Linked DNA regions of Coturnix japonica. The protein of the gene in region 1 interacts with the protein of each later gene in a pairwise test. Links are inferred from orthologs where the notes say so. Each region holds a gene or a part of one and is shown on either strand. Other genes may lie near its edges.

The links.
Region 2: the proteins of PEX13 (region 1) and PEX14 interact in a two-hybrid assay, tested with the Homo sapiens proteins (2 studies listed by BioGRID and IntAct, with this or other methods). The link is inferred for Coturnix japonica from reciprocal best matches to the Homo sapiens genes PEX13 and PEX14.

Annotation. Positions count from the first base shown.
Region 1 is NC_029518.1:5,441,326-5,448,935, forward strand, and holds the start of PEX13 (peroxisome biogenesis factor 13), read right to left. Parts: upstream 4,636-7,610; 5' UTR 4,555-4,635; coding exon 4,481-4,554; intron 2,748-4,480; coding exon 2,050-2,747; intron 1,618-2,049; coding exon 1,492-1,617; intron 918-1,491; coding exon 622-917; 3' UTR 1-621. Other genes in the region: putative tRNA pseudouridine synthase Pus10, read left to right, coding at 4,797-4,922, 6,425-6,706. UniProt on the Homo sapiens protein: Component of the PEX13-PEX14 docking complex, a translocon channel that specifically mediates the import of peroxisomal cargo proteins bound to PEX5 receptor.
Region 2 is NC_029536.1:3,186,286-3,194,063, reverse strand, and holds the start of PEX14 (peroxisomal membrane protein PEX14), read right to left. Parts: upstream 4,858-7,778; 5' UTR 4,780-4,857; coding exon 4,744-4,779; intron 348-4,743; coding exon 300-347; intron 1-299. Other genes in the region: DFFA (DNA fragmentation factor subunit alpha), read left to right, coding at 4,961-5,057, 5,135-5,296, 5,439-5,569, 5,925-6,114, 6,457-6,611, 7,011-7,214. UniProt on the Homo sapiens protein: Component of the PEX13-PEX14 docking complex, a translocon channel that specifically mediates the import of peroxisomal cargo proteins bound to PEX5 receptor.

The DNA.
Region 1 (7,610 bases):
CCCCTCACTGTACCCCCTTCTCTTTCTCGTAATCACTATTTTTATTAAAAAAAAAAAAAAAAAAGCAACCTAAGTCATAACTGACAGAAGCTGTACTTGTTACCAAAAGCAAGCAATTGAGAACTTGTAGTGGTTTGACTGTGTCACCTAAATCTCTTGCAATTCTTATAGGGAAACAAAGTACTGTTATCAGTATTTTCCTCAGCCTCCAGTTCCGGACAACTTCTCACAGAAATTTACTTTTCCTTTGCACATCAGCTGAAGTGGCATCTTGTCAAGTGACATTCCAATGAAGACTGAACACTGATTTCTAGATTTTATCAACAGTTTGTCTACTTAATGAAAACAGGCCCGCCCTTATTTCCTTGTTTGTTTGCTTTGTTATAAACACCTCATTCCTTTTGGCTCTAGATCTTATAGCTGCTGCAAGGTAGTTAGGTAGCCACTAATACACAGCCTTAAGTGAATAAAAAAGAAATCATACAAATTTGAGCAAGAATTTCTCCATCCTTTCACCAGTCTGGTACAGGCCTATCAGTGTTCTACTACAACACAGATTTTAAACATACCCTAAGTTTTATCAATAAAACACCATTCAGTTACTTTGTTGAGGAAAGTGCATTAGAGTTCCTGTTTCTCTCCACTAACTGCAGTGGAATCGGATGCAACAGGAACTTTATTACTTCCTACAAAAACAGAATCAAAAGCAGCTTCCTGTTCCTCTAAAGTCACAGCAGCAGTGGACCCTCTAGCAGACATCCCAGTGAGGGACGGACGTTGCTCTGTAATCCTTTCCAGGTCCGCTGCTTTCCTGCCTCTTCTTTTGCCCAGTATTCTGATATAATTAGCTGGTACAAGTCCTGTTGTTTGACCATCATAACTAGCCAAAAGCCAGCCACGGATTTTGGGTTGTTGGTCTAAAAAAAGAAAATGCAAAAGCATTAAGTTACCAAGCAATTCAAAATATACTGCAGTTGAGGCACAAATACATGAGGAGGCTGAGCACAGCTAATCACACAGAGAAAATAACTCTGTGATAAAAGGGAAACACGAATTATTACACAAGAGAAATGATGAGGATCTGCATTGATGTGATGTTCTGAAGTGTGCTGTGAAGCTGAAAGTGTTGACACCACCATACTGCCATTTCCATAAGGATTTTCACAGTTATATAGCAAATATGAAAAAAGGATAGCCACAAAGGGAACTACAAAGTACTTCCAGAGTAACTTTAGGCTGTGTCATACTTTAGGGAAATTGAACAAAACTATTTAATAAGTTTTATTACAGTGCACGTAATAACAAGTGAAAAAAATATAAATCAGTAGGTATGAAAACTTGGGTCAAAATGTGTTTTGTTTTTGCATTCTTACTTTTTCCCCCTGCTCCTTTTCCCCCTTCCCCCCCCCCGAAAAACACACAATTTCAGAATCAAACTACACAACTTATTTCACATATGATTAGAAAACAAACTGAAAATTGAAAGCTTACCTTTGGGTGCTAATCTTAGAATGTCACCAGCACGGAAGGAAATTTCCTCTTCTGAGAGCGCACTGAAGTCATATTCTGCTCTTCCAACTACATGATCATCTTCTCCACTTGCCCAGTTACTAGAAACTGTTTCCGAAAAGAAATTAAGAATTTACTTGCTTTGAATTTAATAGATGAGATTTTTGGTTTGTCTGTTTTTGGTTTTTAAACCAAAGAGAAGACACCTTAATTTCTTTGCTTCTCTAACAGAGAACTGATGGGACTAACAAAGACAACATTTGGTGAGTCAACCAATAGCTTTTCCTTCTTCTCCACCTGCCACATTTAATAGAAAGGAATCACAAATTTGGAGTCATATAAAGTGTACCATGAAACTGAATCTCAGATCAACACTAAGCTATTTATACTTGTACCACATGCTTAAAATTCAGTGTTGTACCCCAGAATCTACACACTTCCATTACCCAAGTCTAGGTTTAATCTCTATACACGTGATAACTAAATGAACAATATACTCTATACTTTTCATGATTCTCTCATGCTGCAGATCATCTTTACCTGATTCTTCATCACTGTATGTAGAAAGGAGTTTCCAAATCAGATAGGGACCTCCCATAATAACAGCAAAGAACAAAAAAATAGGCCAGGATTTTGCCGAGTTAGCTGCCTTGTCTTCAAGACCAACACGAGCTACTGTCCCCTGACTTTCAGCCCACAGATCCTCATTCTCAGAGCTCTTCCGCAGACCCAGTAATCGTTGTAGACGCTGGTAGAGATATCTTATAGTTCTCACTAAAGCAAATGCTGAAAACACCTTTGTGAAGTGTACTTTGAGGCGGGAGAAGTGATTGGCTACATCCAACACAGCTCTGAAACTGTTGTACACAGCTGAAAAGGTAGCATCCATCATCATGCTGACTGAGGCAAACGCATGCACAATACTTTCAATGGACTGAAATGCACCTCTGCTGCTCTCTTCAGCCTGTTGAACAAACCTGCTGGGAGGAATATCATCTGTACGAAAGCGGTTATAGCCCAAGCCACCATATCCATAACTGTAAGGGCTGTAGCTTCCATAAAAAGAAGTTCCATATGAACCATAGCCTGTAGTAAAAGAACTGCTATATGCTGGCCTTAAAGTACTGAGACTACTGCTTCCTGTTTGCTGTGATGGTCTCGGCAAAATAGGTGGAGGTATTCGTGCAACTGTGGGTTGTCCAGGTCTGGTCAGCAAGTTGTCACCCAAGTCAGGAGACCTAAACAGATTCAGACAACCAAGATCAGTACTCAAAATGTGGTTATGTTTTCATTTTCTCCAGCATTATTCAATAGCTATCAATATGACCCTGCGCTTTGCTAGTGCCAGGTTGTGGAATCTGGTTACCAAACATTCATACTGTCGCACAGTGTTAGTGAGAATTAAAAATTTCTGTCAAGAAATACAAATCTTTCATTAAAAAAAAAAAGAAATGTTCAATGCAAATGTAGAATTGCAGCATATCTGAAACATATAAGAGCTGTTTTTCTTGTACAGACCAAAAGCACAAAATGCTAAGGCTAGACCCATCCAATCTGATGCTGATTCAACTCCTAAGTCATTCGCCTGTGCAAAAGGGCATCTCATACACACTACCAAGAATATTTTGCAATTTGAAAGCTTTAATTCCAACATTTGTTCTTGTTTCTTCTAGATAATGAGCCAATGGTACAGCAAGAAGGAAGCTAGACAGCTCCTCTGAAGTCACCCTTGGAGAACCGACTGGTGGGACCTAACAAAATTCAAATGATAACAGCACACACAACAGCCTAGGGCTCCCTGCTTCCCCCTACTGAACTGGGACTGAATCTAAGACTGTTAACAGCTGGCAGAAAGAGCTACTATGAGCTCATTTACTTTTTTAAAAAAAATAATAATAAATTTCTAGCTCTTGGCATGCCTGTAAGTTTCAGCCGGTTTACCTACATCCTTTGTAATAGGTCTGTGCAAGTACTTGGCATCTGAATTCTATCAAGTAGCTGTCCATCTTCTGCTGTTTTCCATACTGAAGCAATCTGCTGTACCACTTACACATGCGATAGGGAACAACTTTCCCCACAGCAAAACTTACAGGTTTACCTAAAGCGAAGTATAATATTTACATCTTTACACTGTTTGTTTCTTCCAGCCTAGACTGTCACAGTTAAAAGCAGAAGTAAAAATAAGGTACTACCACAGAAGTTGGGGGCACCCTCCCACAAACCAGATTAGGACAACTCAATTTTTAGATACCTGGAGTAAATTAAAATGAACTAGATAACCTCACCAAGAAAACTTAACATCAAACCTCCTGCTCAGCAAGCTTCAGCCTGCAGTGAAAGCATAGTTCTTCCTGAAAGTTCAGTTTGGAGGTAACCTTTTGCCCAGTTTCAGCTCACCCTAATTGCAATCAACAGCACCAAGTGGAAAACAAGACTCATCTTCAGCCATCATCTTTCCTTGGCTTCTGATTAAAATTCATTTGACAACTCTTTCTGCACAGCATCCTTCCCAGTGAAGTACACTCTGTCTTCTGCAGGAGCAGAGCCTCAGGTCAACAAATACACATTCATCTTTTCCACTGCCAGGATCAACCACACACAGCCCCACTCCCACGGGGAGCACATACTCCGTGGCTCTGCAACCCTCACGTACGAACGACAGCGTTTTTTCCACTTGTGGCAACACACCCAGCCCTGCTAACACGTCAACCTCCACCTCGTTAAACCCTCGACTTTCCGTAGACTGGCTCTGAGCCCACAGAACCCGCTGACGAAGATCCACAGGAGGTTCCCCCCACTCTTCTATACACCTCCCCAAGAAGCGGAGTGAACCCGCGCACAACCCGCCCCTCAGCTCCCAGGCCCGGCCAAGGCGCCGCGCCGACGGGCTAGGCCCGACCTTTGAGCCCGGCCGCCCGCAGGGCCGACCCCGCGGTGCGCGGAGAGGCCCGTGCGAGGGGCACACACTCACTGGAAGGCGGGCGCCACGCTGCCCACTAACCGCCGGTTCTCCCAGGGCTTGGGAGGCGGCGGCTGCGAAGCCATCCCCGCCTCGCTGCAGCCCCGTTCGAGCCCCGGCCCGCTCCGGCCCGCCGCGCTCCTCCGCCCGCCCCCGGCAGGCGGGACGCCGCAGCGCCGAGCGATCGAGCCGGCGGCCTTCCGGGCACCGCGCTACGTGCTCCGCCCTGCGCTCTATCGACGCGCTCCGCCCCGCGCCGCGCTGGGTTTGATGCTCCTGTGCTCAGTGCGGCCTATATTTAGTACTGTGATTATTAGTGTTGTCCAGCATGTCTTCTCTAACAGAAAAGGACAGGCCGATTGTTCAGCTGTTACTGGGTGCTGGCACATGCCCACGATGTATTTTCAGGTTCTGCCGTGTGGGATCACAGACGCTTTATAGGCATCCATACAAGGTTTGTTCTTTGTATTTCTGATTAGAACATGTGGCCGTATGAATGCAGTATCGTGCTGTACACTACTTGGAGGAGAAGGATGTTGTTTGTATTCTTGGACATTGCCTGTTGGGAAAGCTCTGTGCAAGTGTGAGAAATTACAGTAGTGCTGTGGTATAAGAATTCCCGTCAGTTTGGTGTTAGGTTCGTTAAGTTGCTGTGTATTCCCAGGAAAACTCTGTAAACAGGACAGAGCAACTTCTGCACAGCTCTATCACTCAAGCAGTGTATCCCCGACAGTTCCCTCCTTCGTTTTTCCTTTAACACAGTAAGTCACAAAGGGGCTGTGGGTCACGGCAGCTGATTGGGGGCTTTCTCTTCTTGCCTCAAATTCCTTCCGTCTTCCAGCAGCATTGGCTGAGGGATGTAGCTGAAGAATGGCGCAGTTGATGCTCCGCTGTCATTCCAGCAGTGTTATTAGGCACCCTATTTAGCTGACCTTCCCGCTGAAATTCAGCATTCTGAATTGTTTTCCCAGTTGTGCACCGTCAGCCTTCCTGTGTCTTTGTATTATGTGCTTCTCAAATTGTTTTTGGCTACTTGCTCCTTCACCACGTTGATTCATAGAGTTCTCATTATGTAGGCCTATTATTTCCGTGTATCTGCCCTAATGATGTCTTTATGCTTGTGTGTTACGGTGTTTGCCTTGATTATTTCACTTTCACTCAAGTTTAGACTCTCCAGAATTCTTCTTTCACGTCTTTCTTCCTAATCCTGTTTCATTTTTAATCAATCTGTTGAGAAGTGTTTGTTCTGTGTGCCATTTATCATGCTTTTGCAGCTCTATCCAATTTTCATCTGAGTTGCGACAGTAAATGCTGTTATTGAAGATGTCTTAATAAATCCTTATTTTTTTTTCTGACCCAAGTGTTACCTCTACCTTTCATCCTTCCTAAATTTCAGATATATGGTTAATTCTCTCTCCTCACCAGCACATTCATTAATATTCATAAGCTTCTCATTACATGAATGAATGAGACGTACTTTGTCGTGTGTTTAATTTCACTATTGCATTTATCTGCTCTAATTTTCTTCTCATACTGTGGTAGCCAGCTGTCTTCGTTGTGTGGGCTGTCAGTGTTGGAGGATTAAATTCTTAGGTAAGAAATGGCAAAAAGGCAGTAGACACATATTTTCCTTGAACAGTGACAAGGCTGAAGATAAATGCATTTCTGCAAGTTGGTCTTTAAAATGTTTCCAGTGTTCTTGGAAAGTAAAGAAGTCTGTTAAGCAAAAAAAGTTTTGTTGGGGTGGTAACGTTTTGACAGAAGTACAGATTGGAGCTTTTGTTTTTTATTGTGCGAGTGTCTTTTTGGTATCTTTACAAGTTGCTAATTACATACACAAAGACTAAAGCTACAGGTGGTTTCTTCTGCTTTTTAAACCTGTGTTTGTAAGTGCTTTTTACAGCACTGAATTCGAGAGGAAAAGTCAACAAAGTAAAATCCCACTGTTTGTGTTAGGATTTGATGAAGGATTTGAAACAATTCCTGAACGGTAATCAAGAAAAAGAAGATACAACTTGCTTTGATGTAGCTGATCCACCTTGTAAGCGATTCAGACTTGGACATGCAGAAGGAGGGCCTGAAGATCTGAACCAGAATGGAGCGCTCAGTCAGATTTCTTTGGTTAATGATGATAATGCTGCTGTGCAGAACTCAGCTGCGGAGAACTCAGCTGCAGAAGTTTGCAATGTCTGTTTGGGAATTCTTCAGGAGTTCTGCGAGGCTGACTTTGTTAAAAAGGTAAATAATCTTAATCTACAAGTATATTTTTTAGGAGCTTTTGTATGTTAGGGCCTGCAGTATAGATCTGGTGATTTAGAAACACTGTACAGTTAAACAATTGACAGAGAGAGCAAATCAAACCGAAACATTTTCTTGTGTTGAATATTTGAGTTGTAGATGGTGCCATTCAGCTACATACAGCTCACTGACACAGTATTTGCGTACCTGTTTTGCAGCTGGGAAATAAAATGCGTGACCATGTTTTGTCCAAGGTTTGTTATAATGTAACTTTGAAAGAAAGGTATAGGTGCAGTGGAATAACAGGAATGTATTTTTGTAATCAGGTTAATGAAACTTCACTATAAACCAATCTCTCTCCTCTTTTAGCTGTGTAAGGGCAATATGAGGAGTCATCAAATGCTGTGCTGTTTAGTTTAACTGTCTGTTTCTAACACAGGAGTGTTTCTTTACTATATAGCACTATTTAGAAACCCACAAAGGAAAAATGTATTTGGTGGTACAGCATTGCAGATAATGAAGAAAAAAGGAGTTAAGAGAGAGTATGAACATAATGCGTGTTGCAGATGTCATCTCTGAGCAATACAGTTGCTTATGTGACAAACCAAAATATTAGCTAAAAATTCCAATTGCATTTGAGATGTTTGACAGAGCTTTAATAGAAACAAATTTGGTTTAACAACATTAATAACTAGGGCTAAGAGAGCATACTACATAGATTCTGTTGAACTATTGGATGCTTCTTTCTTTTTTGTCTCCGTTGAGAGAGTACATATACTTTTCATTGAACCTACTTTTAAGACTTGTTTCAGAGTTACACTCTTTTGTGACAGTGGAAAATCTTACAACTTGCTCTTGTGCACAGGCACATTTATTAAGGCACCACAACATCTGATTCTCTTAC
Region 2 (7,778 bases), on another chromosome or scaffold:
TCAGTGAGACAGATGATGTGCTTAGGACAATGAGAAGGGCGAAGATTTCTGGCAAAGTTAAAGAGGAGTGAAGAGTAAGGGGGAAAAAAAGGGAAAATGAAGGTTGTGAAAGGAATGGCTGAAGCTCAGGAGGCTGATGTCTCGCTTCATGGTCATGGCCACAGGTCAACAGCACAACAACATTGGGCAGTTCAGACCTTTTTCACAAAGAGCCAGCTCCTTTCATTCAAAACGAGCAAAGACAACATCTCATATATTACATTATTAGCAAGAAATTGCGTGCTGCTGTTAGAACTTACCAGAGGCTCCCGAGATGCTGCATTTTCAGTAGCAGGGCTGGAGCCGGCCTGAAAAGTAAAAAGAAAAGTGAGGTTACATCGCCACCCCATGGACACAATTAGAAATGCTCATAAAGGGCCATCCGGACAGGCGAGCAGGATTTGGGCAGACACACGTTTCTGTTATTAGCAATAGTTCAGTGATGAACCGAAGACCAAAAGGTCACACAGAAAATTAGATCCATCAGTCGTCACTTAAACAGAACCCTGTCAATGGGCAGAGCTGCTGTAGGGAGCCAGAGAGCACTGAGACTGGTTTCCAAGGGACCCAGCGAGTCCTTAACATCTGTAAAGGTTTTTGAGATGATAAAGAAAGACAGTGGTCAGAAGCAGCCCAAAGTATTGCTACAAAAGTGGATGCAAAGGAACTTTGCTCTAATTTTATGCTTCTTTTTCCTCCTCTGTAGACCTCCATATGACACTGAGCATCTCCCATTTCCACCGCCAGTAACACACCCTTTGTTTTCTGCATGATTCTATTGAGAGAATACAGTGAAAGCTAAAACTATCTAGTGATACCACTAAGTCCTTAAGTGATCTCTTGACCTCCAACTACTTGCAGTTCTATGCAATACATCACACCTTCAAAGCAGCTCAAGTCTCTTTTTTCCCCATCTAAACACCCCAAAATATACAGAAATAAGTATTTGCCACAAGAGGGTGCCAGTAACACAAATACATCCAACTGCTGCTTCCAGACCCATGTGCATCCTCAGGCCCAACCAGCTCTCACAGCAAGGCAGTGATGTGTGGAGGCTCTTGGTGTTTCCCCATGCAGCCACCTCCACTTCTGTTTTACCCACTGTTTCTCTGCTAAAATTTCATGCACTATCAGTTCATCTCAATGACTGCAAATACCAGTTTCCACACCATACCCGAATCACGCGGACTGGTGTGGTGGAGGCAATGCCATGCGACTGTAAGAAAAGGGCACTTCTCCAAGTTTATGGCTGAGCTCCTGTCTCCATACACAGTGTTATTTACTGTCAGGCTCAGAACTGACCTCCATGGGTTTCACAGCCCCTATAAAGTCCCAGAGCCTCCCATGCACAGGAGCACATCTATTCTGCCTTCAGGAGCTGCACCAGCACTTAGAGTGGCACGTGCAACATTTAGCTGGCCTGGGAAGCTGCCCAAAGAGCATCTGGAATGAAGCCCAGGTTAATGTGGGAAAATATGTATGATGTGGGTAGGTCAGAGTTTTGAAAGCACATACTCAAAAATTCTGATGTGCTTGTAAACAGCCTGATGACACATTTGATGAGCTGGATAATTCATAGTATTTTGATTGTATTGTATAAGGCTACCAACAGTTTAAATGAGATCTGCATTTCCTTCCAGCAATATCACTGCACACAAGGCATGGTGACAGTGAAAGAACTAGTGTCCTAAGGCAGAGCACAACAACCCTCTGGTACATGGGAGCTCTGAGATAAGTCAGGGAAGAATCCATCCTTTCTATGTAGTGGCTGTTCAGTAGCCTGTGTTTAACAAAGCAATGGCCATCACAGTCCAGAGACCAAATATCCCATACCATAAACCATCCTTTAAGATGCACACAGCAGAAAACTCCAAGGCTGAGCACTGCAGAGCTGGAGGCAAGAAGGGAGGAAAATTCACCTACACGTTGGCTAGTGATGCAACTAGAGAAGTGTGTCTATGGAGCAAGAAATCAGGTATCTTTCAACATCTTTGCAATTTAATTATTTCCCTACATGAAGGTAAAACACAGCTAGATGGCAGACTGGGCCCAGAGTGGATACAGCGAAGCTTTAGAAAGAAAACAAGGTCTGGGCCTGTGCTGCTGCTGGCTGAGCCAGTGATGCTCTCCAATATACAGTCCAAGTACTCAGCAGCAAAGAAACCCTGATAGCCCTGAGAGGTCTGAAATGGGTTACTCTGTTCACAGCCTACACCATCTGATCACCCCCCACTTTTAGGGGGTTCTTCTGCGTTTTTCCTTTGTTTTGTTGTTTTATTAAGCAAATACATGACTAAAAAGCCCAAAGAATATGATTTCTAAACAAAATAAATTATTTAGAAATCTGTAGCAGAAACATTTATTGCCTTCAGAACATAATCCTATCTATGTCAATGATTTCATCTGAGCTGCAACACCACTCTCTGCAATGCTTGAGGCAATACATTAATTCATGAGAATGAGACAAAGTAGACAAAACAGACAGTAAGGCAAAAGATATCTGACGCTCCCTCTGCAGCATCTGAACTAACTAGATTTGTAATAGCAGATGATAGGATCCAAACATAAACATGTTAAGCAAGACAGTCCTACCACTCACAGGTTCATGTTGGTAAAGATAACTAAGGGTAGAAAATAAACACATTTTTTAAGTCCTTTACATGTTTAGTGTGTTACAAAGACAACCTCTTACATGCCTTGGTACCAGTGTCAAAACTGCAGTGGCTGCATATCATGAGTGGTATTCATATGCTGATTATCATATGCTGATAAAAAGCTTTATTGCAAAACTGTCCCCTTAAGAAATCATCTACTGTGCTTCATATCCTTTAATTGCAGATTACAGCCCTTGTTTCTGGCCAAACCTGCTGGTTTCTCTCCAATCCCACCCGAGCTAACCAGATTTGAGGGCACCGAACACTCCCCAGCTGCAGTTCTGGATGAAGACATGCAACCAATGTCAGAGTGATGGGGGAGGAGAGCAGGACATGACAGCCTTAGACAGAACAACCCTTCTGTCCCATGCTAACACACAACATGGGGAAGGAGGAACTTCAATACACAAACAGGGCTGCTCCTGGTGCACAGATCATGGCTATCCAGCAGCTGAACTCACTGTTACCTCCTGTACCCAACACCAAAGCAGCCCTACAAACTGGATCTGCTATGAGGAGCCAGACACAGTGGTTTCTCTGTGGCAAAAAGTTACTTTCCAACAGCCTGCATCCAAAATGCAAACATCAAGCCTTCTTTCAAGGCAAAGCAATACTAAAGAAGTATAAAACAGAGACTTAAAGGGTGCATTGAGTGTACACGATATCATAGGAACCCAAATGTTTCTCAGGCAATCGCATTTACCAATTAAGCAGACTTCTTCATTGGAAACCTGCAGGCAGCTGCCTCATGGACTGCCCCAGGTGGCTCACAGATCAGTCTGAGGCTGTTTCAGGCTTCCTCCTGTTGACAGAGCTCAACCCACATCATGAGGAACAGATTGATGTGCCTGCACCTCAAGGTGCTACTGATGAAAGCACACAACCAGCACAGAACTGCCCAGCAAGCCAACCAGCAGCCTGATAATGGGGCCTATACAGCCTGGGAGCTCACAGTGTCAGAGCACAGCCTTTATGGAACGTATCTCATCTCTGTTTAGTTCAGCAATGCTCACTACAAACTTAGCTTTTTCAGTCCAAAATAAAAGTACCAATGGAAACGTGTGTGGTGATTCAGTCAAATGAGAACAGACGTGAATGACTGCACAGAAAAGCGAAGCAGACTTTGCTGTTTCCCTCCCTGCTCCTCTCTCCTTCACCTGCAAGGAAAGGCCTTTCTGCAACCGCTTCAAGGATGGTTTTACAGCCTTCATATGGTCCAGCATAGCACTGCATCAGAGGCAGAGGTGAGATGAGGAGTGCCAGGTCCCTGCTCCTGGGCTCGGTTGGCAGTGTGTGACACTGGGGTTATGCTGCACTCTGTCCTATGGCACCGCCTTTGGGGTTTCCCTCACAGCTGGCTGGAAACCCACAATGAGTGCAGCTCCACCATGCTGCCATCTTCCCTTCTGCCTTCCCCGTTTGCTTCAGGGCCCAGTTTATGAAACCCCAGCGATCCCAGCACCTGCCCAGAGCAGACAGTCACTCCATCACACCCGTGCCTCTCCCCACGCCCCACACTCACTCGTGGGCAGCGTTTGCATCGCGCCTGTCATTGCAGTGCCCTTTGGTGCCATTGCTTCAAGGATCTCCCAACCTGTTTGTTGCGAGGCAGAATCACTTGGTCTACCTGACGTGCAGACCCACCTGACGGGCACTGTGCCTGTCTGTACCCGGGCTCTGCGTTGGTTTGTTCCCACTTTTTTTATCCTCCCATCCAAGTGCTTAACTCCACACACACACATACACACACAGAGCTCCCCGAGGCCGGGCAGCCGCTCCATGCGGGATCCTCCTCCCCTCTGCCCCTGGAGGCCGCTATGAGGGGGGGGCGGGCGGCGGTCGGAGCTGAGGCCGCGCGTGGGGGGCAGGAGCGAAACCCAGATCACGAGGAGGCGGCGGGGACGGCAGGGGAATCAAGGCAGGGAATGGAGGCCCGCAGCTCGCAGCCCTGCCCTCCCTTCACCCTGACCTCTCCCCCGCGGCTCTGTTGGCAGCCCGGCCCTGCCCGCCCCGCTGCCCGAGCAGAGCGCACAGCTCCGGCCCCTCGTACCTGGCTGGGCTGCTCCGCTTGCTCCGAGGCCGCCATCTTCCCAGGCCCGGCTAATCCATGCCCGCCCAGGCGATGGCACAGCCCGCCCCGCCGCCCGTAGCGCCGCAGGCAGCACGAGCCGAGCTCCGCACCGCCGATACAGCACAACGCGATGCTCTGCCGCACGGAGCTCGTGTCCCTTTAAGGCGGCTGCGGAACTACGCGGCCCATCGCGGCCATGGCGGGGCGGCTGAAGCCGTGCGTGGTGCGGCGGGGAGACGGCAGCGAGCAGCACGGGCTGGCAGCGTCCTGCCTGCGGGAGCTGCGCGATAAGGGTGAGCGGCGCTGCACGGGCACGGCCCGCTCATACAGCACGGGGTCAGAACGGCATTAAACGTTTCTCTGCGCGCAGCTGGACGAGCTCTGGGTATCGGCGAGGACGGGCGGCCCGTCACCTTGGTGCTGGCGGAGGATGGAACCATCGTGGACGACGAGGATTATTTCATGTGCCTGCCCGCAAACACCGCCTTCGTGGCGCTGGGCAAAGGAGAGAGGTGGTGCGGGACGAGCGCAGGTACGAGCGGGGCTAGGGACCTCGGAAAGGAGGCAAAGGGCATAGAAAAGCAGCGTTAAATAGCTTTAAATGGGTAACGGCTGTCGTCCCGATCTCGATAGCTTTGTGTTTTCATCTTTTGGCTGCTGATGTGATGTGGCAGGCGGCAGATCGGGCTGGCTATCACAGCCTGCGGATGAAGTGGACAGCGGGGCAGAGAGGTGGAGGCAGCTGGCACGGCAGCTGAAGGGAGACCTGTCCAACATCATCCTGATGTCTGAAGGAGACCTGCAGGTACGGGGGGTGGGGGACACCAGGCTCATCCATCCATTGCAAAGGATGGCATAAATTGGATCACTTAATTCAGCTCTTGTTTCTTTGGCTGTGGTGCTAACGTGAAAATTCTCCTTGAGGGGGATTCCTTGTTCCACTGACAGCACCAGCGTCTGAGGAAGATGCTCTAAACCACTGACTGTCCCTCACATCATGTCTTTGTGCCTCTGCCCCTTCTTGCCTTCCTGAAACATGCAGATTCTCAAGTGCCAGCCTTGAGGCTCCGTCATTCAGGCTTGTCGTTTGTGCTGTAATCAGTGTGATGGAATTGCTCATCACTCAGTCCATAGAACAGGAACACTCCTATCGTTTGAAGGTGCTGATTGACATACCACGTTCAGATCTGGCAGAGGAACTTGCCCAAAGTCAAACCAAAACCCAGGTACTGCAGGACACCCTGCAGCAGGTGCTGGACAGACGAGAAGAGGAACGTCAGTCAAAGCAGCTCCTGGAACTCTACTTAGAGGCCTTGAAAAATGAAGACAGCGTCTTAAGCAAAGTAGCAGGTAGGGAACGTGAGGATATTGAAGAAGGAGCTTCTCAGAGAAGCCTGAAAGAGTTGAGTGGGACAGATAAGTGGGGGAAGGATTGGAGTGAGTCACTTGCTATTAACATGGGTGATTGAATAGCTGGTGTAGTGGAAGAATACCCTGAGTGGGAGGAGTCCTTTCACTGCTTACAGTGCCTGAAAGTAGAATATGGGGGCAAAGCTTACGTAGTGTAGTCATCCTTAATACTATGGGTTTCCTAAGTTAGAGACTGAGTATCTAATCTTAAAAAGAACAGCGCAGTCTGGGCTATGCTTCCCGTCCTGTGTGTGTGGCTGTAATGATTCTTCTGCTTTTCAGAGTCTGAGAGCGTACCAAGAAAGGAGATGGATGTGGTCGACACAGGTACCAGCAGTGCAGGGACTTCAGCCACAACAGCCCTCAGTGTCCAGATCTGTGCTGTTCTGAAAGAGAAACCTGCCCCAGAGCTCTGCTTAGACAGTCAGACTCTAGAGGTGGGTGAGGATCATACAACCATGTTCTGGCACATCTCTCCTGTCTGGATAAAGGGTTGAGAGCTGAAGCTTCTGTGGCATGAAAAGGAAAGTCTGGGTAAACTAGCCATGACAAAGTGTTCTGATGATATGAAATTATTAATCTCGCTTTTCTGTGCTGCAGAAGCTAGGGAACTGTTTTCCGTTAGTTGGAACGTAGAGCTTCAAGCTCTAAGTACTGGTAGGATATAAAGAAAAATAAATTCGCTTAGGAGATACAAGCTGCAGGCTGGAAACATCTTCAACACCAAATTAGCATTAAAGAGGTGTCTCATTACTCCTGTTCTTGGTGCGTGCGGGCAGGCGGTTGTGGTGGTAGAGCATCAGTGGGCAGCACTGCTACAAATCTTTCTCTTACAGCTGGTGGTGAAGGAAGACACTCAAGCCCTGGCTGCAGCTTTAAGCTGGGACAAGCAGAAAGCCGAAGCTGTACAACAAGCTTGTGATCAGGAGCTCTCCAAGCGTCTACAGCAAGTGCAGACTTTGCACTCCCTGAGGAGCACATCGAGGGGCAAGAAAGCGCTGCCCTGTGGAGATGGGCTCAGTTCAAAACGCAGGAAATAAGACTATAGCTCTGCCTCAAGTGTCAGGGAAATGCAAGTAGTTGTGGGTTGCATTTTTTGTGGTTGTTTTTTTAATTAGAACCAACAGAAATAAGGTATGTCCTGGGAGCCATAGTTTGCTGGTCATACTGTGGTCTGGCTGCAGAAAACTAAGATTTGGACATTGTCCTGAGGCATAAATACTTGTGCTGATTCAAATCATGTGTAACCAAAGGGATGTGGACTTTTTGCAGAGTACTAGAACAATGGTATTGCTAAACACAGCGTGTAAGAGTTCAGCTCTGAATAGCTCATTGGGAGCCAGAAAATTCCATCTGATGGTGCTGATCTGGCTGTGAAGCCTTGGACAGTTTGTTCACCTTCCCACCATCTACAGCAGAAAGGATGAAAATTACCTACATCGTTAATGAACAGGAATCAGGCATTTTGATCATTGCTCACTGAACAGTTTTTAGGGGGGGGTTGAGGGATTTATTGTGATATTATCATTGTGCCATTTTTTCAGCCGCTTCCTTTCATCTCCAGCCTGGTATGTAGGCACTTGGAATTCTCATGCTAATCCTAC